Linked DNA regions of Oreochromis niloticus. The protein of the gene in region 1 interacts with the protein of each later gene in a pairwise test. Links are inferred from orthologs where the notes say so. Each region holds a gene or a part of one and is shown in the gene's direction. Other genes may lie near its edges. The genes, in order: necab2, ccdc146, nek6 and ehhadh.

Region 1 (7,337 bases):
GTTGCCTTGTGGAGGGTTCTTCTTCGCCTGTCACCCTCACTGTCACTGGCTCCTGCATCATGGCCTACACTAGCAAAGAGGTTTGACTCTGTTTTCTTCACCATTCTGCACTGTAATTGTGCCAAAGGGAAAAGGACAGTGTTGAGTAATATGAGAAAAACAATAACATATATGCTGTTTTGAGTTGATGATGATTTTAAGCTTTTTACAGTCAACAAAGCTAAAAGATTAGTTATCTGGGTATTGATTTTGAGGCTTTTCCAGAGGGAATAAAATCTAAAAGGTGCCTTGTCAGCACTGTGACTCCTTGACTCATTGTAGGAATGGTTAGAGGCCAGCATCAGGTAATGAAAGACATTGATTTGGCTCATTTGGAACAGGCAGCAGCTGCTGACAGATTTAAGGATTTGTAAAAACTATTAGTCAGTTTCAATTAGCTGAGTACTTCTGAGAAAATGCTTTAGGAAATTTCTCATGTTATGTTATCTTGAGAATGAGTTACAGATAATTTAATTTTATCATAAATGCAAAGATTCATTTCTGTGTTTGGGATAAAACCCTATGCTTGATCAGATTTCTCTTGCTGACAACATCCAATGTAGCAAGATGATATAATGACCTTGAAAGTATAACCTTTGTAACATTGATCAAGTAATTGTTGTCACCCTGTCTCTGTGTCCAGGTGGTGAGCTCTGTGTGTCCAGTTCGTGGCTCCCACACACAGACCCTGTCTGTCCTCAGCCCCACAATCCAGTGTTGCACCATCAAACCTGTCATTGAGGGCAAGCATTGGAGTTCTCCACTCTTTGTGACCTTCAAGCCGCGCCAGAACTGCATTCCCAATAACCTCCCGATCTATGACCGTGACTGCTCCTGGAAAAAACACCAGGTAGAAGAGCCACCATCTAAATACAATCTATTATTTATTTGAAAAACTGGGTATATTTAATACTTTTTAATATTGAAAAGGTTACAGATAATAAAACTATCTATGTAACTATAACAATTTAATTAATCTCTGTTTATCCTTTCTCTTGCCTCAGGGATCTGCCTTTTTTTGCCTTTCCCGATGGGACAGGTGTGCTGTACACCTTGCAGGGAGCTGCTGATCCTCCTGTGGCAGGGGACACTCTTGTGCATGAGCTACCTGCTAAAACTCTCCACACACTGTTGCTCCCTGTGCACAACTGGCTCTCTAGGCAACAAAGGTAAACACTTAGTCGGGAACTATATACACTTGAGCTGCTCTTAAGTGATATGTCTCTCCTTAGCAGCTAAATCACCAACTAGTTTCAACTGTGTTGTCTAAACTGAGATGACACAAAATTTTACATTTTGAAATTTTCTACTAGAAAGTAAGAAGTAAAGTGTAGGAAATGATCCCAGTTAAGCAAAGCTTTTTTTGTGCTAATATGGAAATCTATAGTTCCTGGCAAATTATGCAACAGATGTATAACAGAGCAATGAGTGTACTCATCTGTGTTGTCAGGTTCCTTGTGTGTCTAGAGACAGTGAAGCCTGACAAGCCAGATGCTACAGTGTCCCTCAAGGAAATCAAGTTTATTGATGTCCCTGCCCATGCTAAGAGGGACTACGAGTGTTTTGTTTTGTTTTGTTTTTTACATACACAGAGGGTAACACCACGGTTTACTCAAGCATACACATCCAGACTTGGATGACTATTTTTTTTTTTAGCCTTGTTCTCACATCATCCTTTTATCTTTATCCTTGGGTGACATTCATTAATGATGAGACAGGCGAGTATTTGTTCTACCTCGTTATCTTCAAAGGCAACATCTCCAGGAGTCCTGTCCACCATCAAGCTGGGGACACCTGTTCGTCAGGTGGCCTCGGCCACTATTCAAGTAGAGAACCCTCTGACCCAGACAGCCTGCCTCACTAAGGAGTGTAAATGTCTTGGCATCATCGTCCAACCTCAGCACAGTGTGCCAGGACAGTCCAAGGTAGATAATGAGTACATCTGCCATCACATTAAAAAAACTGTGTGGCCACAGACAGACTCTTGCTGGCATATGTGTGTGTCTTTTCTTTACAGGTTTTTTTGACTGTTCATTACATGCCTCTTCATCCAGGCGAGTCTACTGCCCGTCTAACTTTGTTCAGCAATGAGCTGGGCCACTTCCACTACGATCTGCTTCTCAGAGCTCTGCCCCCACCACCAGAGAAATCTGTGGACAATACTTTGCTGGGCAGCAGCCACTCTGTCACTGTAATGTTTAACAACTACTCACGCTTCAAAACCGAGTACTGCTGCAAGGTAAAAAGTGGCAAAACAAATAGCCCTTTCTTTCCTTTTTGTACATTTATTCTAGCAACAGTACTTTACATGTGGTCAGTGTCAGCATTCATCACCGAGGCTTCCTTCTCATCTGCTCTCTATAATTCGTCAACACAAAAAGTTGATTTACTTGCAAACACCTTGTGTTATCTCTGTCCTCCAGACTGACCGTCCGGCCTTTATTGTAGACAAGAATGTCAGCACATTACCAGGTTTCCCTTCGGGCTCAAAGGCCAGCATGGAGGTCCGTTTCAAGCCTTATCAGCTGGGGTAAATAAGAGGCCAGCTAAGCCTGTCTTCAGTAATTGGTGGTGAATACATCTTTCCCCTACTCAAACCTCAAGGCCCGTTCAGCATCAAAGCCGGTGGGAACGTCATTATCCTCTTCAAGAATGTGTTCCTGCAGACCACCACTTTCTCTCTTCTGGTAAAGAGCAAGTAGAATTTACAAAAGTCGGCACTATAAGACAATCAGAACAAAGAGTGAAAGTTAAAAATGTCTTATCAACATAGCTGACAATGATTACAACATTCTAAAACAAACACCCTGCAGGCAGCCAATACTCTTATTAAAAATAGGGATGCTTTACTAAGGCTCATTTCCTTTAAATATTTGCACTGGGTTCATTGCCAGCCAACACGGAGCAAGATGATTTAAATTTAGCCTGGAACAGATTGCAGTGTGCAGAGTGGTGCAACCTGGCTTATGTTTAGACAAATTGTACTCCTGCTTGTATTAAACGCAGCTTTCACATCTTCAGCATCTATAAAATGTTTCTATTCAATTTATGTTTCATTTAAACATGTCTCTTATTCAGATTTGACGTAACTTGAACCCTGCTCATGTCTAGGTTGACAACTCCCATTTTACTGTCAATGGAGGGGGCAACATTCAATCCAAAGAGACCCCGAAAATCCTGGTGTCATTTGAGGTTCCTTCAGACGGCTCTCCAGGACCATGGTTAGGCAGCTAGATCATCTCCAGTCGGCACTCCGAAGGCCACAGGAGGCCATACTCACGCGTCTATTATCTGAAGGGTCTTCAGTTATCTTAGAGACATGTGCAGACACAGAGAGATTGACTATAGATGTAAACATGAATGCACTTAAGAAATTAGGCCTTCATTGCTGGATGTTCGTATGTTTCAGTTGCATGTTTTGTTATTTTTCTGTAGCCTGTTAGCCATTTAATTGCCAAAATGTTCAAGCCAGAATGTGTTGTGTATTTGTGTGATTTAAATAAGTGGCTGTCACGAATCTGTTGGTAAATATTTAATAATGAACTCAATACATCCTGCATATAAGACTTGCCCAGGCACGTCACTGCACATGTTTTACCACATGGGGGCAATCGTGTCAAGTGATTGACCCTTTCTTATGTTCCAGCGATGGGGCAAGATGTATAACACGCCTGACTTTACTTCCTTGTGGTAATCGCGATAACCTGTTTGTTAACTTTGCATCGTGACTGAATTCATCCAGAATGCTCTGCGTGCTGTTAAACACATGGTACATTACGGGGAAGACAACAGTACAGCGGAAAGGGCAAAGCTGGGGGAGTCGCTCATTACCAAAGGTTAGAGCTCTCACATAACACTGATCCTCTAATGACTCCTTTTTACTCCATGTGGAAAATCCTCTGATCCACCCATTGCCACACATGACTGCTGGCCCACACCTCCTGTTGTCACTGTGGAAGGAATAAACTGTGCCACGGTCTCCAGTCAGATTCGGATAGTTCAAAGTGATCTGCAACTTTGCTATTTTACAACACCATGAAAAAATAGTCATGTGTTTTTACACTGTAGTAAGAAAAGTATTAGCACTGAAGGCGAGACATTTTAGCACTTAGAAATATGAAAGCGTTGATAACAACACTGAAATAAAAAGTGCAATAAACTCACTTAAATCTCCAAAGCTGTTAAATATCTGCCTACAAGCACGTATGGGTAGATAGGGCTCTGTAGGGTGGGTGGGTGTGATTTGGGGTGGGTGCTGTGATGTAAGAGGGGAGCTGGGGTGGGGGTGGGGGTTCTCTCTCCCCCATAGAGCGCAGCATGAGCGCTCCGCAGCAAAAGGATGTGTGAGCAGGCAGCGCGCTACTGTAGGGACGGAGTCCACAAACTGCTGAACAAAGAACAAGCCAAACTTCGAGCCCAAGAAAGCCGCGAGCAGCCGAAACCCGTAGCCGGTCAGGACAGCGAGTCCGCAACGGCAGCGCAGTCCGGAAACAGCGGCGCCCAGCCCGGTGGAATCGACGGGCTCGTCCGCTGGATCGTCACCAAAATGAGCGACAACAAGAACATCTCCAGCCGGGAGTACGCCTCCAGTAAGGAGGAGGTGGCCGTGGCTCAGGAGCAGTTCTTCGCTCCGGAACCGCGGAGAGGCATCTCCGTTATTTTGGATGTGAGTATAGAAATGCACCGGGTTGGCAGGTGCAGGGCGGGTGGGTGCTCGGGATGAAGACATCCAGTGAACAGCGCGTACGGACCGGTGCAGTGCGCACTTACGCGCAGATACTCGTGGCTTGGTAGAGTAGGCGGAAGATTTGACACTTTGGTGATGAATGTGGAAGCCCGGGAGCAGCCTCAACGCGCTGAGCTCAGTTTCCATATCTTTTCTGAATGACCCATCCAAAAGATTCACTGTACTTTTATTGCATCTTATTAAGCAATATTCTCTTATGCGTCTTTGTTCACTTCTTCATCACCAATAAAAGTCACGCATTTATAGTCGAGAGGCAGCTTTACTTTTACTCCTGGCTTTACTGTCAGTCCAACGTGCAGTAGCTACGCTCACACCAATTTTATGACTGCTATTTAATTATTCATGAGAAGGTCTTACTACCATATTGTTATTGATCCATTCCTTACAGCCACTGCTTAGTATTCTCACTCCCGATGTAATGTCTTTCTGTTATCAGACAGCTGATAACGGAGCAGCCTTCCTGCATTAAAAGTGGCACTTAGCGCAGTGCTGATTTGGGTCAACTCATCAATACTATTGGGTTACTTTTCATCTTGGCCGCTCTAAATGTTTCCCCAGGAGATCTGCTGATGCTGCTTTATTAGGGTAAAAAACAAAAGAGAAAGTAGTTCAGCTTCTGCAAAATCTGACCCAGACCTAAATAATCTGATAGGGTGGTAAAGAAGGGGGTCCATGGAAAACTAATTATGATCAAAACCACTGCACCAATGTATCCTAGTACCCTAGTAAACTCATTCTGTCTGTGTTTGTGTGTAAAGGATGTTGTAAGGGGTGTAGCCTAGTTTGCTGCGTCGTTGAGCCAAGCAACTGTCCGCTAAGACAGATGTTACAGTAAAAGTGTTTGTAAGTGAACAAGCAAACAAAAAAACTGTGCTGCACTCATATCTATATTTGAGGAGAGGTTCGTTGTCATTGTATATGCATGTATGTGTTCATATTTTCATTTTCTGATTAAAGGTCCTGGATTGCTTCATTTTTTGTGGTGTTTTTTCACCCTCTCACTCCCTGTTAGAAATCTGCCATACTCTCTCAGAGTGGCTGACTTCCTGATATCAGCTGTGAACTCATTCTGGTATTTTCTCTTGAGCCCTCTGCAACGTCTTCAACTTTGAAATGTTAATCGTTTCTTCATTTTCCAATATTATTGACTCCAGCGTTATTATTGTGGTGAACAAGTCGAGACCAAAGAGGTTTGAGTGATTGCTCTGCACGTGCGCATGTGCCCGCGGGCAGCGCTTCCCTCATTAGATCCTCAGCCTGCTTGTTTTTCCTTTACTGTTCAAGTCTTCGCCTGCATCATAACCCCACTGTACCTTTCTCGCTATTCATTAAATTCCTTTCATCCTTTGTCTCTTCCTTTTCCTTCCCTTCTCTCCTCACCTAATTTCCTCCATATCCTTTTTGCCCTCCCCCCTGCCCAGAAACATACATTCTTAATAAGGTTAGAGATGGATGCAACACTCTCCTCTGCCTCTGTCTTCTTTTTCTATTTTGCCGGATCTTCTCTCCTCTGCTGTCGCTCGTTTTCTTCTCACTCTGTGTTTCTGTTACGATTCTTTACAAAAACACACACACACACACGCGCACGCACACACCGCCTCTTCATCGCAACACTTTGCCTCCTCTCCAGGCTTGTTTGTTTCCAGTAGCTCCAGAGTTGGCTCTTTTCTGTTGAGTTGAGTGCACCCCAGGGTGCAGCCGGAAAGCAGAACAATGCAGAGCAGCTTGTCATTTGGAACGCCACTCGTCTCAGCAGTTAATGATTTTCTCTTTGGCCTGTTGAGATGGCTGCAGTTGCTGTGTGAATGCACCACTTATTTAGAGTTTAACATGCCTCCTGCTCATAAGTGCAAGAATCTATATATCAGTTTGTGCACTAAAAAGTGCGACCTTTCCTCAAGTTTTCAAATTGCATTCATGATTATTGACCACACTATTTAGATTACTTTGAAATTAAGGCTGCAACTAACTGTAAATTCATTATTTGTTCTGTTATGTCTACAAATCATTTAATGGATTGATTAGCATTTGTATATTTCTAACTAATGTAAGCAAATATGCTAAATATGATAAGGAAAAGCCTAAAATCCTCACATTATGGCACCAGGAAACAGAACGGCTGTCATTTTTTGCTTCAAAAAATAGCCAGACCATGAAGAAATCAAAATGGTTGCTCATCCATTTTAATACATTCCGATTTAAACAGTGAAATTTTTCTTTTGACATTTACACAAAGCGTTATTGAGGAAAGTATGAAGTAAGTCTAGAACTTTCCTGGCAGTTGCAAAGGTTATTGCAGAAGACCATTTATAAATATTTCTGCAGTTCTGTTCTCAAATGTGGTTAAAATAAATATGTCTACTTCACACATTCAAATGCCATCCACATAATCTGTGGTGTAAATTAAGATTAAACATGGCCAAAATTTCAAATCATGAGGTCAGATTATGGGCAACTAATCACTGTAATCCAAAAGCCAGGCTTCAGATCTCCCTGAAAACTCAGTTTCTTCTACTCCCGGGTCCATATGATATCAGTGAGAGCTTCCATC
Region 2 (6,975 bases), on another chromosome or scaffold:
GTCTCCAGTCGTTGTCTACAAGGCTATTGGACAAGAAAAAGCTAACAGCACACTAAATGTACAGACAACACACATTGAGTGTGTGTGTCTGTGTTAATTAAGTTATTTAGAAACAGTTTTCCAACAAGGAAAGCGAGGGTTGTGGTGGTGAAGGGTTTTGTAAGATTACACCAAATCCCCAAGTTGCATTTGTTGTGACTACAGTACTGCAATAAAACAGAGGTCTGGAGTCTGCATGTTGCATAAAAGTCACTTTTTCCTATGGCCTGATTTGTACGTGGGCTCTGGAGCAAACAAACACAGATGGGACATGCATGCACATTGTGCGACACCCACGGTAACATTGGTTTTTCACCTGTTTTACAAAACCGCAAGAGAGGAGAAGCAAATACCCCTGGTACCCCGACTGTGCTCGGATTTGCTGTCAGCATAGATTTTGTTTGAGTATTTCACATCTTATTCAGGTGGATGTTTATTTTCCTTCACACAAGACTAGCATCGATATCCATAATCCGATCTTGATCACTTGCACATAGTGTGTAATCCTTGTTTCTGCCTTGTTAAGTCCCCCATGTTGCCTGACACAACATGCATCATCAACATCTGTTGTAGATTGTCGAACTTTACAGGAGTTACTTTGAACTGTGGTGAAAAAAAAATCTAACTCATAAATCCCCAGCCAGCAATTATGGTTAGGTTGATGAGAAGACATGGTGGAACAGACTTTTATAACATGTGTAGTCAGCATATTTTGACACTTGAAAAGTTAGTTACATCAGCAAAATATGAACAAAGTCAAAGGAGCCCCCCCACCCCCAATGTAAAGCACTGACTAGCTCAACAGCTAAAGAAATGTCAGCTTTATGCACAAATATCCATCATTCCCACAATACACGGCAATCCTGATTTATTCATCCCAGAACAGATTATTTTTGGGTCATGTTTTATTTACCCAAATATGGTGTACTTAGGGACATTTTTTTTTTTAAATACCAAAATAAACTAAACCCTTCCAGGACTGGAGAGATAACATATCCAGACTGTTGGAGGCTTTTCAAGGTTAATTTGGAAATGTGGCTGTGTCAAACATGAGGGGGTGGTTATTAAGTTATTGACATGTTTGCTTAGCAAGTAAGCTAAAAAGAGAATTTTGTTCTCTAAGGGGCTGCAGGTGGTATTATCCTTCATCTCTCCAGCTTTTCACTTATATGGGCTATGCTGTTGTCACTGATCCTTTCCCCTGTTTTGTTACATCTGTAGCAGAAAAAAATGTCACAAATTGGAAAGATCTCATTTTAGCTGATGACTCTGAAGACAAAAAAACCCTTGAATAACCAACTTTTTATCAGTTGATGGGACATGATGTTGAAATGAGTAACAGGCAAATTTGCTGCTGTATTGATGGCAGTGAAAAGTCTAGTACATATCTGAATGTAAGTATTACTGCATAATTGAAGGGGCAGCTTCTGTTTGTGTGCATTCACTAACTAACACTTACAGGCTGCTTCATGAGTTATGCCTGTTCAACTGCGTCTTATATCTAATCAGCTCTGTCACATGGCAGCAACTCAGTGTGTTTGAATATGCTCAAGACGACCTGCTGAATTTCAAACTGAGCATCAGAATTGGGAAGAAAGCTGATTTAACTGACTTTAAATGTGGAATGGCTGTCGGTGCCAGATGCTGGTTTGAGAATTTCAAAAACTGCTTATCTACTGTCAATTGCTTGCACAGTCACCTCTAGGGTTTGCAGAGACTCATCTAGAAAAAAGGAAATATCCAGTGAGCAGCAGTTCTCTGGCTGAAAATGCCATTTGACTGCCAGAGATCAGGGGAGCTTGCCCAGACTACTTTGAGCTTGATAGGATGGCAACAGATAAGTACTCATTATAACTAAGGCATGCAGAAGAGCTTCTTTGAACACACTGCAACAGAAGACCACACTGCGTGGCATTCCTGTTAGCTAAGGACACGAAACTGAGGCTGCAATTCACACAGCATCGTCTATTGTTGCTGACCATTTCCATCACTTTATGATACACTGTACTCACCTTCTGATGGCTGCTTCCAGCAGGATAACACACCATGTCACAAAGCTCAGTGTTGTGTATCAGTTTTATGGTGTATTTTTTCCACTCTGGCTCCTGAAGCTGTCTTCCTCTTCTTACCTGCAGTCCATTGGCAGCAATCAGCCAGGCTGTACTTTGGGACCAGCTCAGTCCTCAACATTCTGGCAGATTGTTAGCTGATGGTGTCATCTTTGGCCTTGGATCAGCAGTCACACTCTTCAATCATTCTCCTGGTTTTCTCTGACACTGGTCTTCCTTGCCTACTGGCTACCTGTCAAGCACTCACCTGCTGGCTTTTGCTGCTCACTCCTCCTCGGCTGTCGGGAGCAAAAAGAAAAGGTAAGATACCTCACCTGCCTGCCCTTCTGCTCACTGCTACGCCCCATCACTCTGAGAAAGAAAAGGAAAGGTCAGACATCTTGTTTCACTCATTCAGTCACACTCTCTGACACTCACCTGGAAAACCACATCACCGTCAGGAAACTTGGCTCTCTGCGACCCCAAGTAAACAACCATTCATCACTCATCTTTGTAAATATTCTCACCTCAATCCTGTGTGCAGAAATGATTCATCACTGCCTCTGCAATAGTGGATCGCGCTCCTGTGAAGCCTCTCACTGCCCTGTTTTAACTCCAATGATCCCTGTGTTCAATAAAGTGTTGTGAATAAGAAAGAAACAGTCTACTGAATCTGCGTTTGGGTTCTCTTTTGAATTGCTGCTGTCTGTCTGACACTCAGATCATTTTTAAACTGGGGCCTTGAACATGACAATAAGTTCGCTGTACTCAAATGGTCTCCACAGTCACCAGACCTCAATCGAATAGAGCACCTTTGAGATTTGAGATTAGCATTATGAATGTACAGCCCACAAATCTACAGCATGTACATAATGCTATCATGTGAATATGGACCAAAATCTCTAAAGGAATGTTTCCTGCATTGAATCTGAAAGCAAAATGATGTCCAACCCTACTAGCAACATTTACCTAATAAGGTATATATGTGTGTTGTCAGGGCTTTGCATCTCCACTGGGTGTACACATGGCATTGTGAATGCACATGACTGCATTACTATTCCAAATTTATGACTTTTCTAGACAAAAAAAGAACTCACACTTAGAAGATGAATTGGTTTTTGTTTGTTTGTGGTGTGTGTGTGTAGCCAATGGACATGTTGGACATGCCAAGTAAGTGTAAAATAAAATTCAACAAATAACAAATGTTTGAGGATTGCCAAGCCCCTAAAGAAATGAAGTCCAAGAAGGTTTCTCTTTCCTGGTGCCAGTAAACTCACAACTTTTGTAGTAATATCACATCCTTTCCTAATGGAACATCTTTAACGGATCACATACCAGCATGCACACGCACATACATATACTGCTGAGACAACACATCTCAGCAGCTGTTGCCGGGAATAAGTTACGGGTCATGCCACCTCCCACAGTACAATGTGGGGAAAAAATTTTCAACACCACAGGAGAACAATGGCTTTGAATCACTGCCATCTTTCACCCTGGATATCATTTTAAGGTTTTCAACACTCACCAGTTCAGGGTGTTCAGCCAGCTGGCCACTGATGTTGTTCCATGGAGCCAATTTCATTACACACGGCGATTACGCGCTAGAGATAAAAAGGCTTAATTAACCTGTAATTTAACGCCATCTGCTGGACATGCGCTGCAAGTGTAAAATGAGTTGTTGTTTTTTTTAATTCTCGGATTGAATGAGGTCCGTTGGGATTTTTGTGTATTAATAAAACAGGAGAAAACGGTAGATAAGTAGAAAAAATAACCATAGCTTGCGCATTACTTTTCAGTAGAGGTGAAATTCGAGGCTTTCTCCTTATATTAAAGTGGACGTATAGCGTCGTTGTTATGGTAACCACAACACACCACGAAAGTGAAAAGTCGGTGATTGGGTTTTGCTGAGATTGGCTGTGAAATTATTTAAATATATATATTTTAAAAAGGCCTGTGAAGACTCCAGAGATATAAGAGTAAGGAATGTGTTTCCTAGTTTATCTAACAAACACCAAAAAACCGGACACAGCAAGTAAACTGGCTAATAAGTAAGTTTCTGCATGCTTTAATTGAACAACACACTCGTTGCTGTATTGTTATGTCGTATACACCTTTTTGTATCACATTAGCCCATTTTTTCTATTTTTATGGCCTTCTCGTGTGCTTTAACAGAATTTAGAAGCAGAAACTAAGCTGGAGTCGCTTAGCACCAGTTATAGCCGATAAGCTGTCATAATTTGGTCTTTTTGCGTTTTTCGAGAAAGTACGCTTTCTGTGTGACGTTTAGAGGTCAAATAATATACATCATCTTAAAATGTTTTGAATATGTTTAAGGACAGTGCTCACAAATTACTTTGTGGGATCTACGTTTAAAAAAATATTTATTGATTTTGATTTCCGGCGGAAGCGTAATCCTTCAGAATAAAAGCAGGCTTTTGCATGGCTAATTCGGTGTATTCCGCACATACAATACTTCTATTCATCCCTCCATCCTCTTCCGCTGATCCTTCTGAGCGTCCCAGTGGGGCTGGAGCCAATGCCAGCTATCATAGGGCAAGAGGCGGGGTACACCCTGGACAGGCCGCCAGTGTGTCGCAGGACTAACACACAGATATAGACAACCATTCACACCTATGGGCAATTTAGAATTACCAATTAACCTAACCCCATTAATTGCATGTGTTTGAACTGTGGAAGGAAGTCGGAGTACCCGGAGAGAACTCAAGCAAACACGGGGTGAAAACATATAAAAACCACACAGAAAGGCCCCAGCCAGATAGTGGAGTCAAACTCAGGACCTGTTTGCTGTGAGACAACAGTGCTAGCCATTGCACCGCTGTGCTGCCCACCTTTAGTCATATTATGTTTTATTTATTGGTAAGCAAGCATAGGGAAGGGCATTAAATGTTGAAACTGTGTGCCAGGACTTTGGTGTAACAAACATTTAGATATTTTCGGATTCCTGTCCCACGCAGCTTGTGGGATACTAATGTTTGTTTAGTGTGTTTCTGTCCTAAATATTATTATGTTTTGATCCAATCATTAGTGAATCCATCCGAGGAGGAGACAGAATGCAGGCCTCAGAGTGCAGAAGTTGAAGTGGAAGAGCAAGATGAGGATAAGGGAATGGAGGAGGACGCCCCTCTAGTGGCCGTTGCACCCGATGCGTCACTCCCAGAAAAGCAGCCCTCAACCTCCAGTGAAGTCTCTGCTAGTCCTGCCTCCCAGTGTTTAGATGAGGTAACAGTCATGTGCATTGTTGTGTTGTTATTATTTTGTGAATGGCATTTTTAAATTGTTTTCAGAAAGATAAACATCCCTATTTGATAGTTATAGTGAGAGATTTAACTCCCATAACTCAGAAGAAAAGAAAATAGTATCAGATATGATATAGATGCATGTATTTGCACAAGGCTAATGTTCAGGACTATTATTTCCTCCATTCTTTTGCAGTTTAATTGCTGATATCAAAGTATTGCACATACATAATGTGCGATAAAGTGTTTGTCATAAACATTAAGTGTAAAAAAAAAAAAAGTGAATATTTAGGACTTGAAGTCATCCTGTGAATGAGCACAACACTTTTATTAACTTTATCATCACAGACAGTAAACAGACAGTAAAGTCACAGTCCCACAGTTTTATCATCTTCTGTGAAGCCGATATGAAATCTGCCTTTTATTTAGTGGCTTTATTGGTTCAACACCTCGTAAACCCATTTGTTATGGGCATGCAGCACCTCATCCTGCATTTTTACAAGCCTCATTCAGCCTCGGACACTAGACGGCAGACACTTTCAAAGACACTCATGCGAAACTTGTATACAGTTTTTGTATACATTCATTTGAAAGGCGATTCCAGTACACAAGTGGAGCAGGCATGAAAAGGATTTTAAACCGATGGAACATTGAAATCTGCAACACAGCCATGGAATATTAATTTTATTTTTTTCCCCAATATAAAAATTGCATATCTTTTGGCACAAGAGCTGAATATGAATGATAGAAAAGATCAATCTGATACACACAAAGAATTTCAATTTTACGCAGATATTTACTATGAATGATCACAATTATGCCCAGTCCTTCTCATTACTCAAATGTCATCAATCATTAAACTCTGTACTGCATGACCATTGTATCATATAAAAGCTATCATACCTCTCAAAGTAAAATAAATACTGTACACATCCTCATAATGAAGCATTTCTTTCCCCAATCCTTCCCATTTACAGTGTGTATAAAATGAAATAAATGGTGCTATACAGTTTCCTAGCATTAGATAGCAGTATTGTACAAGAGGAGGATTTTACAGGTTATGGCAAAGAGAAGTGTGCAGTAATTCGGTGCATCCAAAGGTTGGAAACACATTTTTTTTCCTCACTGCAATGTCCTGCTTTGTGGCTGCTCTCAAGAAGAATCTAGTAAAACATCAATAATGCAGAATGCACACACATACATGACTAGAAATTTATTGGATGCTGCGTATTTATACTGGGATGTCTTCTGTGGTATGGGATAATGATAAATCAGCAAGCTGACCCAGAGCAGTGAGATAAATGCCAGAGAAGGGCCAAGTAAAGCTATACATTTATTACTGGCTGTAATTTTTCTAACAGTTTGACTCTCCAGCTTGAGGTCTTTCGTAATGATTATCGGACCCACTCAAAACTGTATCATCAGCTCTCGTATACCTCACTTGGGTGGCTGCTGTTAATTACAAAATCATTTACAGCAGAGAAAGTGATAGCTCATTAGTTTTTACTACTAGTATGTGCTGCGCTGTGTTTCTACGCTGGGTTTATGGCAGGAGGCAGCAGGACAGAAAGAGAAAAAAAAATGTCTAAGACCAGTGAAAAAATCTCTTCTGGTAACCCTCAGTTTAA
Region 3 (7,551 bases), about 2.9 Mb from region 1:
AAAAGATGAAGGAAGAAAACTGGTAAAGGACACTGCAAAGTGGCCTACACCAAAATTGAAGGGGCTGCAGGAATTTCTGGCAAGCACTGTACTGTACTATTAACGTTTCTCATGGTGTCTGTGCACATATGTTGAGATCTGTCCACCATACAGGGGTTTGGCACATTTGAGAAATATGTCAAAGATCTACAGTTCCTCATCATCCATATCGCCAGACACGGTCAACAAGGCAAAGCAGCGGAAATCTTTCTGTCAGATGACATCATTTATCCAATGAAATAAAGAGTTTAAATTAGCTATAGACCATGCATTATGTCTTGTTTTTTATTTTATTTTACACATCGCCCCAAAGTTTAGGGATTGCAAGAAGGGGTGGGTTTAAAAAATAGATTTTCCTATTCAAATCAGTTTTAGTTTGAATAATGCGATATCGATTCATTAAATCCTGAACTGATTTTTAAATATATTTATTTAGCCAGAAACACCAGAATCTCAGCTTAAAGCTCACAAAACTATTTCAAAAAACCACCAAAGAGTTATAACCCCAAACGATTAAATAGCAGGTAAACACACTCCACAGAAAGATGTAAACGCAAAGCGCAACCCGGCGGCACGAACACGGACACCTCATCGGGTGCTAAAAGCCGACATCTCACAGATTCTGAAGCTGCAGGTTTGTCACCCTCCAACCAAAATTCACAGAAAAAGCAGCAAATGAAGATCAAAACTACGCTTCACATTTGAAAAATATTGTCATAAATTCCCTCGGTGTACTTCCAGTTTACCACCAAAAATTTGTGTTTCTGCATTATTTGCTTGCTTATTAGGCACCAGTCTACCGTTGTGTACAGTGCTGTCGACTTTTTTTTTTAAATGACCTCCTACAAGAAAGCCTAATTTCTGCTGTTCAATACCAAATAAGTGTAAACTTTTACAAAATATGCCAAATTGCAAAACGCTGAGCTATAAAACATAAAAATAAAAAGTATATGGATATATACTGATAAATGATCATAATTATAATATGTCTGACTGTCTGACTTAAAATTGAATCGAACTGAAATCTTGAAATTGAATCGCTTATAGTAATCAGTGATGATATCCAGCCCCAACTGCAAGGATTGTTCTTAAAAAGCAGGCAAAGTAGGGCCTCCACATCACCCTACTAATATGGTGTCTCAACACAGTGCAGGAATTTTCTTACTAAATCTGTCATTATAATGATATAAATCTCATAAATACACCATATCTGTATACCAAAGCCAATCTATAGATCAGCTGTCCTTTTCTATCATGCCACTAGAGTAGCATGCAGTCATCGTCTCTGCTGCACTTCTCAGTCCTGAAAAGTAGCATCCGGTGTTGGGGGGAAAAAAACATCTAATACAGTTACCATGCTTACAGTGGCTACATATCCACTCACTGTCAGTCACCACTAACCGCGCGGAAAGCTTTGTGAGTTACTAGTACACCTCAGTGTCATTAAAAATATATAAATAAAAGGTTCTTGTTTTTTGTTTTTTTCCAGGTCCCGTCAGTGTTTTTAGCCTGTGTCACAACAAGCCAGGGCCTCATACTCTACGATATCTTCTCTGTGACTCTGTGGAACACTGCTAACACAGCAGTTTTAGCTAACGCACCGAGAAATATACTTACTTGATTCGAGACCCCATCCTGTATTTAGTCTCCCCGCCGTGGCTGGCAGCAGACAGGCAGTACGCAGACGCGTCACTCGGTATTTTTCTCAAGCTAAGCTGCCCGTCACACACAACAGTACACCGCCATGGTGACTCTCCATGCGTAAGTCACGCTCCACTTTGTGCCGCTCCTGGGATTTGTAGTCTTTTAAGTAGAAGACGTGAATGTCTATAACATACCTCTACCTAGTATTAGAAACTACAGCTTCCACAATACGTACAAGACGACTGGGTCGCGTGGTGCTGTAGCCGATAAAGTTTCTGTTACTCAGCATTTACTGTAACGGTAGCTCCAGTACAGTTAATTACATCATTTTGAGGTTTTATAGCTAATAATTAAAAACAATTTTGGAGATAATTTATAGTTTAATATAAATTAGTAATATTTTCTACCAATATTAATTTTGAAATAATCTAAAAGATAAATTATATTATTTATGTCACAAACATTTTGTTTTTAAATGTAATGTAATGTAAAAAGAAAATAAATGAAAATGACAGCTACATGGATTAACAAGAGAAAAAATTGGGGCGGATGCTCCAAAAAAACAGCAGATTTGTGTGTCCTGTGTTTTTTCTTATAGTGAAGATGTTTTTTCCAAAACACTAGAGCAAAGTAGAAAAATGATCAAACAAAAATTCCCACAAAGTTTACATCTTTGTTCTACTATTCTCTAAACTGTTCAAAATATTTAAATGAACCTTCTGAAAACACATCAGACCTCAATAGGAAAAAAAAATTACACTGGATATCTATGCTGATGTGGACTGGATAATCTGTTAGGATGCCACATTGTTTGATGGAAATGAAAATTATCAACCTACACAGGGCTAAATTCAAAGACAGTCCAAAAATCTAAGAGGAAAAAACTGATGCAACAGACTAGTCTGTTTTTGCTGAAATTTCATTGCTGCAATTCAAAGTGGTATTCAGCAGTTTATATAGCTTCCACATGTTTGTATGCATGACTGACAACATCGGGGCATCCTCCTACTATGATAACAGACAGTATCATGGGGGATGTCCTCCCAGATCTGGACCAGGCCTTCACTGCCCCACAAACTGAACCAAAATATAATGTCCAAGAGGCGTTCTATTAGAAATACCTCAGGTGAGTTTGGGGGCAGGAGGAACCCAATGCACAAGCGTTGGGTCTGACAATGGCTCCAAGGATTTCATCCCAATGCAGTCAGGGTGCCATTGCCTAACCTGTAGAGGTCTGTGCGTCCCTCCATGCATATGCCTCACCAGACCATCACTGACACACCACCAAACACATAACTTTTTCAGGCAGCATGACATTCTCCACAGCTTCTCCAGACCCTTTCACTTCTGTCACATGTGCTCTTGGTGAATCTGCTCTCATCTGTGAAAAGCAAAGGGTGCCAGTGGTTGGCCTGCCAATTCTGATATTCTATGGCAAGTGGGCTCCATGGTGCTGGACGATAAGCACAGACCCTACTAGATGGCATCGAGCACTTGTGCGTCATGAAGTCTGTTCGTGATTGTTTGGTCAGAGACATTCACACCAGTGGGCTTCTCGAGGTCATTTTATAAGACTCTGGCAGTGCTTATCCTGATCCTCTTTGCACAAAAGAACAGATACTGTCTTGCTGTTGGGTTAAGGACCTTTTATAGCCCCGTCCAGCTCTCCCAGAGTAACTGCCTGTCTCCCGGAATCTCCTCCATGCTTTTGAGACTGTGCTGGGAGACACTTGAAATCTTCTGGCAATGGCATGTATTGATGTGCCATACCGCCAAACAGTCAAAAAAGATGAGGAGGGGAAAAAATATTAGTTTAAAATCATTCTAGTTTTGAGATTTGTCTCATTGTTGCCCCACTAGTGCACTTGTTGTTAATTTTATTAACAAAGCAGCTGAATTAACGACCCCTTCTGCTACTTTACCTGACCAGATCAATATCTTAGAAGTTTAACAGAATCAATGCTATGCTCTGATAAAAAAAATAATAATCTCTTTTACTCTGCAATGGGTTAGGGTTAAGGTTAGGTATGTATATATTTTCTAAGTTTACAACCCTTTTGTTATAAATGCTGGTCAGGTTGTTTTAGTTTAATTATGTTTTGGGTGTGGTTCACACTGCAGAGACAAAAAGGTGAAGCTTGAACTAGTCTGGCTCTGTCGCTATTCTTAGTTCTGTATCAGCCTGCAAGCCTGGACCATAAGATTTGCAACAACATCTCCTTGAATTCTTTTGTTAAAGCCCTGTAATTAAAGTCTGCACTCCAATCGCATATTGATGTTTGATTGATGCTGAATCCACTGTGGTGGTGTACAGAGGCAAAAAATATATAAACCCCCAACAAACAAACAAACAAACAAACAAACAAACAACACTGACCCGAATAACCATGCCAAAATACTATTGCCAAAGCATCAAAAATACATATACAAATAAATAACACAACATAACATAAAACAGCACAAGGATAAATGTATATTAACTCAATTTGATTCAATATGCTTGATAAATAAACAATTATAAAATGTATGCACGTGTGTGTGTTCAGGTGTTCTTTTTTAAAAAATTTTGATACAAAATTTTGCTTTAGTAATTTTGTTTTACAGACCCGAACTGGTTAAAGTATGTTTTTCCTTGCTTTGTTGTTTTGTAGTTGTTTTTTTTAATTCCCCGAATGATTAACGTTTTAATAGAAATTTCATCTCCGTTTCAATCTCATCTGTCAAACGGCCACCACGTTTTTTTCTTTCGTTTCAACATGTTAATTTATACAAATCTATTTTCAGACCAGACTCTAAAAAAAAGCCCCATCCCGTATGCAGGAGACTGAGAGAAAAAGTAGGGCGCGGAGACTACTGACCCACAATTTCGCGTCCACTTTAGCAACCAGAGACTGAAAACTTTGTCGTATCGTTCTGTTATTCAGTTATCAGCGAGCTCTATTGAACAAGCTGCTGGACAGCGAGCGGGGGCGGGGGGCGATTGAGAGACACTCGGGGGCGGGGGTCTGACTCACACTGTTGGTGTGAGGAGTTGCACAACAACACGAACTAACAGAAGTTGTAAAATGTGGAAGGCCTTCACGAAGCAGGACGTTACTGACTCCTCTTCAGGTAAGACACAGTCAGTAGTAAGGAGACGGTGGCAGCTCGCAGGATTGTGCAGCAGCTCGCTTCAGTAAGTTCATGTGTGGCTGAATCATAAAACGCGTCATGGAACAGGATACAGCCTCATTTTGGAGAGCTGCACAACCTTCGTAGCAGTTAACTAGTTAGCAGCAACGTTAGCGTGCTGCTTACCCGGACAGAAACGAGACCTTATAGATTCCTGGTCTATAGTTTAAACATATTATTATATTTTTTTCTATTTCAAACAATCGTGCTGCACCAGGCCCGGAAAAGAGCACGCAGCAGAACACTTGGACTGAAATTCACATCCATTTCATTTCCATGTTTCCATTGCCACTTTAAAGTAATTATCGGCGACCTGTCACTCAAGCTAAATGAAGTAATGGTGAGTGTTATTGGGCTAATTCTCCTCTCTGCAGGCTCTTCTTTCACAACAGGAAACCACTGCAATACTCGTAACTTTTGCAGCTCCTGGTTTATCTTCCTGTAAATATAATTTTTGTACTTTTGACTTAGACCAATTTGGTTTATACATTAAGTTAATCAATTACAATTCAACGTGAGGTAATTGGGTAGGACAGAGATGTGGCACTGGGTGTATTATGTGATAGCATCTCTGTCATTATATAAAAAAAACAACCCCTCCAAACAAAACACATCCGTATAACAATGACAATAAATTTCTTGAAGAGGTTTCAGCTCTCATCCAAGAGCTTTTGCAGTTCTAAAACCAAATGTTGGAGAGTACCAGGTATTGGGGTTTGTCCTTTAAGACGTTTGTTGACCCACTGTTTATCATATGCTCATCACATGAGTCAAGGTGTGAAAAAAAGGCATGGGTCATTACAACTACAAGTTTTAGGTGAAACCACTGTGACCTGTTGAGATCACCCAATTAAGTTTATTTTTGTTGTTTTACCAACAGTAGCCAAAAGCTAATGGGCAATAGTTTCATAGAGCACTCGACATTGTTGAATATGAAGGGAAAGGTTGAGTAGTAAGACTGTCTATACAGGAAGCGACTAATAGTCATGTGGCATCCAGAGATTGCCAATGACATTGAGCAACTTCAATCAACAACGATTTTCTGCTGGCATATGAGGGCGTGGCAGCTATGTCAGATTGTTGTTCTTTTGGCTGCTCCCTTTTGGGGTCCCCACAGCAGATGCCACCGTCTTACCTTAGCATGTCTCGTCAACCCTCTGCATGTTCTTCTTCACTACATGAAGAGTTATGTTTATGTCAAAAGCTCCATGTGAGAAAAAAGATAATCAGAAGCAATGCATTTCATTTCACAGGTGCGGGTATTCCTTGACACTTGTGCAAAAAGTCAAAAACATATGTGCATACAACTTAGCAAAAATGCATTTTTGGGTTGAGTAGCATAGTTGTGCCGATGAAAATGCCAAACTCTGCCAATGCCAAACAGCTTATTCTGCTATTCACTCTTTTTCTTAATTTCTGGTAATCAGGTGTCCTGATTAGTGCATGATTAGCATGGACCATGTTACAGTGATCAGTTGGTATCTGCTCCAAGCATGTCATATTTGCATTTGGCAATACATTTATTACTTTCTAGGCTGGACTATTATAATTAGTTATTATCAGATTGTTTTTGAAAATTCCTTAAAAAATCTTCAATTGATCCAAAACGTTTGCTTTTGGTTTGTTTTCATTAGAATCATAAGTTGCGAGAGAAGGTACAAAATTGTTAAAATAACTCATCTAGTCATATTAACTTAGCAGACACAGAGATGCAGTTACTTTGAGTCACTTTTAGTGATCTGATGGTCTGAAAATACCTTTGTCTTTTTTCCAGTAAAACTAGAACAAAGGCTTGAATTATTGTAGTCACCACAGGACCCAAACCTGTTGCCCAAACCTGGCAACAGTCCTTTTGTAACTGGAGAAAACTGAGTTAATGACTCCAAATTGCAATTAAGTACAGTATCTAGGTGAATGAGTCATTAAAAAAAATTACCCTATTCAAGAGTTGTTATGATTTGGATAACTATCCATAGAAAGTAAAACTGATTCTTGTAATAAACTATAAAAATGCTCTTATATGCTGTTCAGCCTGCACAGTTGGGTATGGATGTGACATGTACACTGCTAAATTGAACGATACAGCTGTGACTCAGGGGTTGAGTCGGGTCATCCACCAATCAATCAATCCCTCACTCCTCCATTCAGCATGTTGAAGTGTCTTTGGGCAAATGATTGAACCCCAATGCCTTCATCATAATGATGTAGGAGTGTGCACGTGGCAAGTAAATTTACCCCTGACATCTTTAAACATGTCATTACTGATTCACTTACAGTACCAGTCAAATGTTTTGACACAAAACGTGCTTACATGCTTAATGTGTGTAATTAATCAGCAAGCTTTCAGTATTGCTTGTTGCAAACAGTAATACCAACATATTTAACTGTGGAGCTTGGTTAGTGAGTGATAAGAAGAAAAACACAAAAACATAAACCACTGTAGATGGTCTCATTACTAAACTGTGTCACATGCATAATTCCTTAGCTTGCTGTGTAATACAGACACACACAATTACCTTGTGTATAGTTTGGAAAAATAAAGCAAACTGATTTTTTGACATTTATTAAAAGAAAAATAAATCTTGTTCGTGCTGTATTGATTCCTTTGCTAAGACAAATAAATCCTTAGCAAAGGAATCAATACAGCACGAACAGGGTTTGTACCAGCATTGACAAATAGGGAAAATAATAACAGCT
Region 4 (7,340 bases), on another chromosome or scaffold:
TGACATAATGCCAAATGTATTCGCTCGTTTGGCTTCACACACGTGAACTTGAGTGACATCCCATTCTTAATCCATAGCGCTTAATATGATGTCGGCCCACCCTTAGCACCTTAGCTTACAGCCATACAACCCTGAGCACACCCGATCTTGTCTGAAAAGGATATAACAGTTAAGGAGTCCGCTTACGGGAATTTTTGACCATTGTTCCAGAAGCACATTTGTAAGGTCGGACACTGTGTTGGACAGGAAGGCCTGTCTCCGCGCTCATTCATCCCAGAGGAGTTCTATTGGCTTGAATTCAATCATCTGGATGGATGAGTGAATACTTTTGGCAATATAGTGTATGTTGAGCTGAAAATCAGAGTTCTTTGCACTCTTACGCAGAATGCTTTTATGCTTCATCCTAAGGCGCTGCCAAGTCTGTTTCACACTGTTTAAGCCGCAGGTTAAACATAGACCAGCTGATCTTTTAACCTATTTTTAGGATTTATTTGTAGGATATTCATCAGCCAAAATATTTAATAGCTAATTAATTACATTTTCATTTGGCAACAAACTAAAGTGATTTCCACGTCTCGGTCATCAGATGGTGAGATGGAGACAGAGCTGTTTAAGTGGATCGAGTTTAAGGTTTCAGAGTCTAATGTGCAGCTGTCAGAAAGAAACGAACAAACAAAAAAAACAACAACACGTAAACTCACGAATTCACAAGATTAATGACTTCCTGCCAGTGTTGCTCTGTTGGCTTTTTATTTTTTATTTTTTTGGGCCAGCAGTATTGCCTTTAGTGGTTACATATTTCATATTCTTTACAGATCTCTATCACCTGCTCCTCTACAGGTGTCTATGACTGGAGTAGGTGGGACTCAATCTATTTTATGAGCAAGAAGAGTGATGTAGCAAACACCCCCTTTCACATAAGCACACATACAGCCTGAAGCAGAAAGGCCTACCTAACAAAGAAAGCTGACATTGTGGTAGCCGTTATCTCTGAAATTTTAGGTTATGGCTGGCTCTGTGTCAAACTTTCTCCTGGGCTTCATGAGGGAACACAACAATGTCGCTTCTACACGTTTGACAGCAGAGTCTAAAATTACATCTGTCAACCATTTCTTCCGTTTCAAGGGCAAGAAGTCACTGATTTATCAGATTCTATGTGTAGAAATGAGTATACTGGATTTCTAAAGTGATAATATGATATGGCCAATGTCTCCTTGTAGGAAGTGTTGTTGGTAATAATAGCTTGACAGGTAAAACCTTTGATTTTTGTAAATAAGATAAAGCATAGCCCTCTTTACTGTTTATTTACAGCACACACGGCCAAATTAACAGTTGTTCTCTGAGAGAACAACCACCGGTATTTCAAAAGCTTTCTATATTTGTTTCCTTCAGTGTGTTTTGTTTGTGTGACAGCCCGGTCGTACCTTTCTCTGTAACGTGGAGACTTTATCTGGGAAGAGGTTCACAATGTAGTGTTTTCCAAAGACTTGGGAGAGGAGGAAGCACATCGTAGAGCCCACAGTTGTGAGCACACAGGCAAGCAGCAGTCCTTGATAGGGTCCAAATATAGCTCCCGCAAGAATGTTCTACACAATGACAAATGGAGACCAAAAGCCCGCGTTAATAGGCATCATCTGACACACAGCTCTGTGGCGTCTCTACATGCGAAAGGAGAGAAATACTTTGTGGTCTAACACTGGTGTGAAGCCAGTATTTTGGCAGTTCTGCCCACTCAGATTGTCATTTGCATTATCTGAATATTCTTTTATCCTCCGCATTTATTTAAACAAGAGACACAAGCTGCATGCCGCATGCTGTCCAAGTGCCTTTCGAATTTTCCTTCATCTTGCATGCAAATGTAATCTTTTCACACCTACAAGATGTGACACTTTTGGCATATTTTAGCCCATGTGTTCTCGTAATGTAATTAAACATACAAAATGCTTCATTACAAGGATTTTACATGTGTTTTAAGACAGCCAGCATAAGAAATCTACCAGTTTTGTGCTCATCACAATGCTTTCCTTATCATCCTGGATCTGTACACAGGACATTACCTTACCAGGAATGAGGATCCAGGAATAGCAAAGGACTGCTTGTAGAGATAAGCACTGCAGAAGAGGAGCAGGACATATCCAGTGTGCTCTGTCTTGTAGAACTGCAAGAGTTCAGCGAGTTCCCGCAGCTCCTCCAAGTCTGAAGGGAATTTTAACCTGTGAGAACATTCACATTTAAGTTAGTCATTTCTGTCAGGCCAGCTTCATGTTCACAGAAAGACCGGCAGCACAGAAAAAATATCATTGTGATCAAAAATGTTTTAACTTAAAGTTACTTTTAGATTTAAATAGCTGAAAGAGTAACCCATGTGGCTTCTGCGGGGACTACAAACATGGTTTGATACCTATACTTATCTGCTAAAACTGATACCAAAACAGTCTTTTTACGTCACTTAAAAAACTAAGCTATTTAAATAAAACTGCATTTTTTTCTAACTACCATCTGTTTTACTATTGACAAATCTCACTTCAATCCAAGATAACCAGCCACTCATTGATTTTGCCATGATAGTACAAAGAATGAAGTGAGTTTCTTTGAAAGGTTCATTCTTTGTGGGACAGACTCATACAGTTAGCATCACACTGTTGCTGCAGATTTTGTCAGCTGCACATCCATGGATGCAAATATCCATCCCACCACATCCCAAAGGTGCTCTATTAGATTGAGATCTGGTGACTGTGGAGGCCATTTGAGTACAATGACCTCATTTTCATGTTGAAGAAACCAGATTTAGTTTATCTGACACAGTGCGTTATTCTGCTGGAAGAAGACAATGGATGCACTGTTGCTATAAAGGAAAGGACATGGTCAACAATGACACTCAGGTAAGCTGTGGTGTTTAAACAATGGTCAGCTGATACCGAGGTACCCAAAGGGTGCCGAAAAATCTGCTGTTGTCCAATTTTAATGAACCCGTTTGAATTCCAGCATCTGTTTCCTGTTCCTATGTAATCTTCTGCCGTTGTAGCCCATCTGCTTCAGGGTTTGATATGCTGTGAGAACAAGCCATGTTCTCACAGCACAGAGAACTGCCACTCACACCGTTGGCTGATTAGATATTTGTGTTAACAAGCAGTCAAAAAGTGTACCTAAAGAGTGTAAGTAATACTTAGGCTAATGAATGATACGTGGATCCAATTACACCTCTTTCTATGACGTATCTGAATGACACAAATACCATAAGGGGTTTTCCTCACTCAAACATGGGACGTCACTTGAAAACTTGACTGCTTTGCATGTAATTTAGGCGAAGACTGTCCTGGCTTGGTGCACCTTTTATATGGGGGAAAAAATCGTGACTTGGTTTGGGATGACACAGCTTTGAATTTGTTCTTTTTCATGCATTACCAAAACTACACTTCAGTGCAGTGAAATAAAAAAAAAAAAAGTTGGGCCCAGATAAACGCCATATAATGCAGGAAGAGCTGGACACTGTTAATCTACTGTATTAAACCCAAATTAAACTTCTACAGTAAACAACAACACAACACTTGTCAATTATGACCCAATGACAACCTTGACACGTGTTAAAGCTGAAGCAAAAACTGGACTTGCTATTTTAACTTTAGCTTTTCCAAAAGAGGCTTCAGTTAGACAGTTTTTAGAGTCACTGCTTTTTGAAGAGGAGGTTAAAAGCCAGCAAATACTGCTGCCTGTCTTTTTATGAGCTGCATGCTAACATTAGCTTACTAGTGACCCAGCGGGGTCCAATTTAAATAAAGCTAAATTATGCACAGCCTATAACATAGCCCAAAACAATGGGTTACCAGCCAGCGGCTAAATATACCAGTCACCTGCTGGGCTCTTCTTCCTCTAAGGAGTCGCCGGGCTGCTGCTGTTGCTCCTCGGACACATGTCCAGCCTCGGCGCTCCGGACAGAACGCTTTCTTGGTCCCGCGGGGAGGTACAAGGACAGGGAATATAGATACAAGCTGGCTGCGGCGACAACCGTAATTAGTCCTACGAGGGAGCGCATGTTCCCCTGAGTTTGATAGCCGGAAAAAAGCTTCACCTCCCGGTTGCTGTCAGCGAGAATGACAACGGCAAGAAGCGGCCGGCAACCAACCGCCGCAGTGACGTCACATCCCCATGTCAATAGAACAGTTAAAATATTCAAATTACTAACTCACAAGTACCTACAAGTGTATCTTATAATTTATTAATCTGATTTAAGTACATATCAATAATATAAAAGGCGGGGAAAAAAATAATTATTCAAAAACTCTGCTTCCGGTAGGGGGCGATAGCGCGAGTGTTTGCCGTAGAAGAAGAGCGTTTGTTTACACGGAGGGGGAAGAAGTGTGACAAAGGTGATGAAGCGTTGCTAACTGGATTAAAGTCAAGTTTCAAAGTTCAGTCTGCACAGCAAAAAGAGAAGTGCGACATCTCCAAGTATTCCTTCGACACCATGGCTCAGTACACTCGCGTTTCGGGCTCCGTGGGCTTGATTACTCTCCAAAGTCCTCCCGTTAATGCACTCAGGTGAGCCGATTTAATGAAATTGGTCTGCACAACTTCTTATACTGCAATTTGCTTTCTTTTAGCGTGTCTCGTAATGCGAAATAACATGTGCCTGATTGATTTTATATACAGTAGAGCTGTAGCTGCAACAGCAATTTGCAGCTTGCACAGGAACAAGTAGTATTATCACGAAAGAAAGCTTTGTGCACCAGAAGATAGTAACTCAGGTGTTTTACCAGAGGGTGGCGTCAGAGAGAGTGATCCTCTGATTGCTGTTGTAAATGGGTTGAACCATAATCTGTCAAACATGAGTGATATCAAGTCTTTCTGTGCCAAAGTTGAAGTGACTTTTGTATGTCATTTATTTATCCAGTAAAAAGACTTATCATACTTAAAAATGTTTTTTTAAATAAATCTGGCCAAGAGGGGATTAGAAAATTAAAACAAATACCGTAATAGTTGTATAAAGATATTTTAAGTTGCCATAAAGAAGCGGATTGCTTATCATGTAGTGCGCAGCGTCGCTACTTGCAAAACAGATCCTTTGTTTATTTTATATACACCCGCTTCATAAACCCTGGTGTCTACAGCCTGTTTACAAATAGACACAAACGTTTTGTAGTTTGTCCTTTTTTTAGACTGCTGTACAGCGGTGTCATCATGCAGATTATTCCTAAACTGGCAGCTGCCATTCTTCTGCATATAGAGTCAGTAGGTTTTGATACCTGTAAGTACATTTTAGTGATCAGTTGATCTCATTCACGGCATTTACTTCAGGGTGATTTATTACCACCGCTGCTTTAGTAACAGCTTGAGGCTTAATACATTACAACAGAGAACTGTGATTAATTAACAGCACACTAAAAACACACCCAACCACAGTATGATCTACTGGACCCTGGAACCTTTACTGGACCTCACAAGTTTACTTGAAGTCATTTAAGCTGTAGCAATAATTGAATCTATTTACTCTCTAGTTATGCTATCATTGCCCTGTTTTACAGAGACATTTTCTCATCTTGTTTTTTTTATTCTAACTGATGTGTACCTTAAGAGTTAATAGACTGTATGATGCATTTTAGTAGCTTCGTAAGCTAAAATTATCAAAAAAGAAAGTACATAGATGTTAATTATCAAAGTTTATATTGCTCCGCCTGTCTTTGTTACATGCTTTTGTTTTAAATTTGTGAAGAAGGGCCACAGCAGAACAATTTACTGTCAAGTTTAAAATTTCACAAAGTGTGAAAAAAAGGCCAAATAAAGTTGTGACTTTTTTCTCATGCAGTGCAGCGGTGAGGCAAGGTATTGTCGACTCGATGCAGAGAGCACTCAGTGAGCCAGAAGTGAAGTCTGTGGTCATCTGTGGCCAGAATGGGATATTCTCTGGGGGTATGGACATGTTTGTTTGTTTTTTTTAATCATGTACCATGATATTATTTATAATGTAAGTGTCTCTGTCTGCCCATCTTCTTCCACTTAGCACAATTTTCATTACAACTACATTTTCAGTAGTTTTATTATACATTTTTTTATTAATTTAATGTTAATATTACATCATTAAAAGGTGATTTGTTGCATACTCGTAATGCAGTAAACAATACAGATCCTGTCATGGCATTTGCAGGTGCAAAACCAGAAGTAAACTGCTGTGTTTCATTCTGTAAAATATCAAAAATAGAGAAAAATGTTTTTTCTCAACTAAAACCCAAATATATCTGTCAGACAAGGTTGAGAAAAGTAGAAAAGACCCACACAAAATAATGAATTGCTGATCCGCATATCCATCTCTCATGACCTTTCTTTCTCCAAGTTCCTGATCATTTTGTCAATTTGAATTTGTGCAACAGGAGCAGACATCAAGGAGTTTGGGGGACAGATGTCTGGGCCTCCCCTGATACCGATGATCCACGCCATCGAGGCTGCTTCCAAGCCCGTGGTGGCAGCTATAGAGGGGATCGCTTTAGGTGGAGGCCTTGAGTTGGCACTTGGCTGTCATTATCGGATTGCACACTCTAAAGTTAGTTCATGCTTCAGATCTCTGTCCCTGTCGGCCAGTGTCTCTTTAATGTCAGCGATGAAACGCATCGATGTCTGTCAGTATCTTGCATGTTGTGAAGCTTTTGCATAATAATGTTTTTTTAAATTGTGCAAATGACTAGAAAAAGAGTCAGTTTGTCTGTGTCAGACTTGAAAAAGGTAAAAAAAAATCTTATCTGTCCAGAATACATTTGCTGAGAATTGATATTTATGTCACTCACAGAAGCCATGCAGAATAACACACATCATATTCAAAGAATATTCCCAGAAACAGTTTTCGCTAATGTCTAAACCTCCACAGTTCAGTACGTCCCGTTTATCAAATTTTGTACCTTTATGTCTTTTCAGGCCAGAGTGGGACTTCCAGAGGTGACTCTGGGGCTGCTGCCTGGTGCAGGGGGAAGCCAACGTTTGCCGAGGCTCATCGGTGTCCCGGCTGCCTTGGACCTCATCACCACAGGTAGCAGAAAGAAGTTAACACTGTCTGACTTTGATGAATAAAGTTTCCTAAACATGGCAACTGCCAGCAACTTTTGGTTTCTGAAGAAGAGTACGTCCTAAAACGTTTGATAAGAAAGCACCCAGACATGTCACTGTAAGCAGTCCTGCTAAAAACTAATGAAAAACTATTCAGTAGGATGTAGAACCACCTATAGAGGCAATAGTTTGACTTTATCAGCCTCTCACATCATGTGTTTACAACATTGCTTCAGTTCATTGAGGTTTGCTGGCATTCGAGGATGCAGAGCTCTCTTAAGGTCTCAAGACAGCATATTAGTCACTGG

The links.
Region 2: the proteins of necab2 (region 1) and ccdc146 interact in binary tests that used the Homo sapiens proteins (3 or more experiments, as listed by UniProt). The two-hybrid records come from large-scale screens. The link is inferred for Oreochromis niloticus from reciprocal best matches to the Homo sapiens genes NECAB2 and CCDC146.
Region 3: the proteins of necab2 (region 1) and nek6 interact in binary tests that used the Homo sapiens proteins (3 or more experiments, as listed by UniProt). The link is inferred for Oreochromis niloticus from reciprocal best matches to the Homo sapiens genes NECAB2 and NEK6.
Region 4: the proteins of necab2 (region 1) and ehhadh interact in binary tests that used the Homo sapiens proteins (3 or more experiments, as listed by UniProt). The two-hybrid records come from large-scale screens. The link is inferred for Oreochromis niloticus from reciprocal best matches to the Homo sapiens genes NECAB2 and EHHADH.

The regions. Positions count from the first base shown.
Region 1 is NC_031972.2:7,361,203-7,368,539, reverse strand, and holds the start of necab2 (N-terminal EF-hand calcium-binding protein 2), read left to right. Parts: upstream 1-4,322; 5' UTR 4,323-4,378; coding exon 4,379-4,705; intron 4,706-7,337. Other genes in the region: hydrocephalus-inducing protein, read left to right, coding at 858-889, 1,044-1,208, 1,490-1,634, 1,791-1,964, 2,057-2,278, 2,463-2,573. UniProt on the Homo sapiens protein: May act as a signaling scaffold protein that senses intracellular calcium.
Region 2 is NC_031981.2:8,528,358-8,535,332, forward strand, and holds the start of ccdc146 (coiled-coil domain-containing protein 146), read left to right. Parts: upstream 1-3,951; 5' UTR 3,952-4,137; coding exon 4,138-4,138; intron 4,139-4,817; exon of another isoform or gene 4,818-4,967; intron 4,968-5,136; coding exon 5,137-5,330; intron 5,331-5,656; exon of another isoform or gene 5,657-6,975. UniProt on the Homo sapiens protein: Essential for sperm flagellum biogenesis and male fertility.
Region 3 is NC_031972.2:10,216,266-10,223,816, forward strand, and holds the start of nek6 (serine/threonine-protein kinase Nek6), read left to right. Parts: upstream 1-4,529; 5' UTR 4,530-4,748; coding exon 4,749-4,794; exon of another isoform or gene 4,795-4,858; intron 4,859-4,927; exon of another isoform or gene 4,928-5,194; intron 5,195-7,551. UniProt on the Homo sapiens protein: Protein kinase which plays an important role in mitotic cell cycle progression. Required for chromosome segregation at metaphase-anaphase transition, robust mitotic spindle formation and cytokinesis.
Region 4 is NC_031987.2:14,329,811-14,337,150, reverse strand, and holds the start of ehhadh (peroxisomal bifunctional enzyme), read left to right. Parts: upstream 1-4,323; 5' UTR 4,324-4,465; coding exon 4,466-4,539; intron 4,540-5,803; coding exon 5,804-5,907; intron 5,908-6,365; coding exon 6,366-6,535; intron 6,536-6,903; coding exon 6,904-7,015; intron 7,016-7,340. Other genes in the region: tmem41aa (transmembrane protein 41A-A), read right to left, coding at 1,425-1,586, 2,063-2,213, 3,852-4,033. UniProt on the Homo sapiens protein: Peroxisomal trifunctional enzyme possessing 2-enoyl-CoA hydratase, 3-hydroxyacyl-CoA dehydrogenase, and delta 3, delta 2-enoyl-CoA isomerase activities. Catalyzes two of the four reactions of the long chain fatty acids peroxisomal beta-oxidation pathway.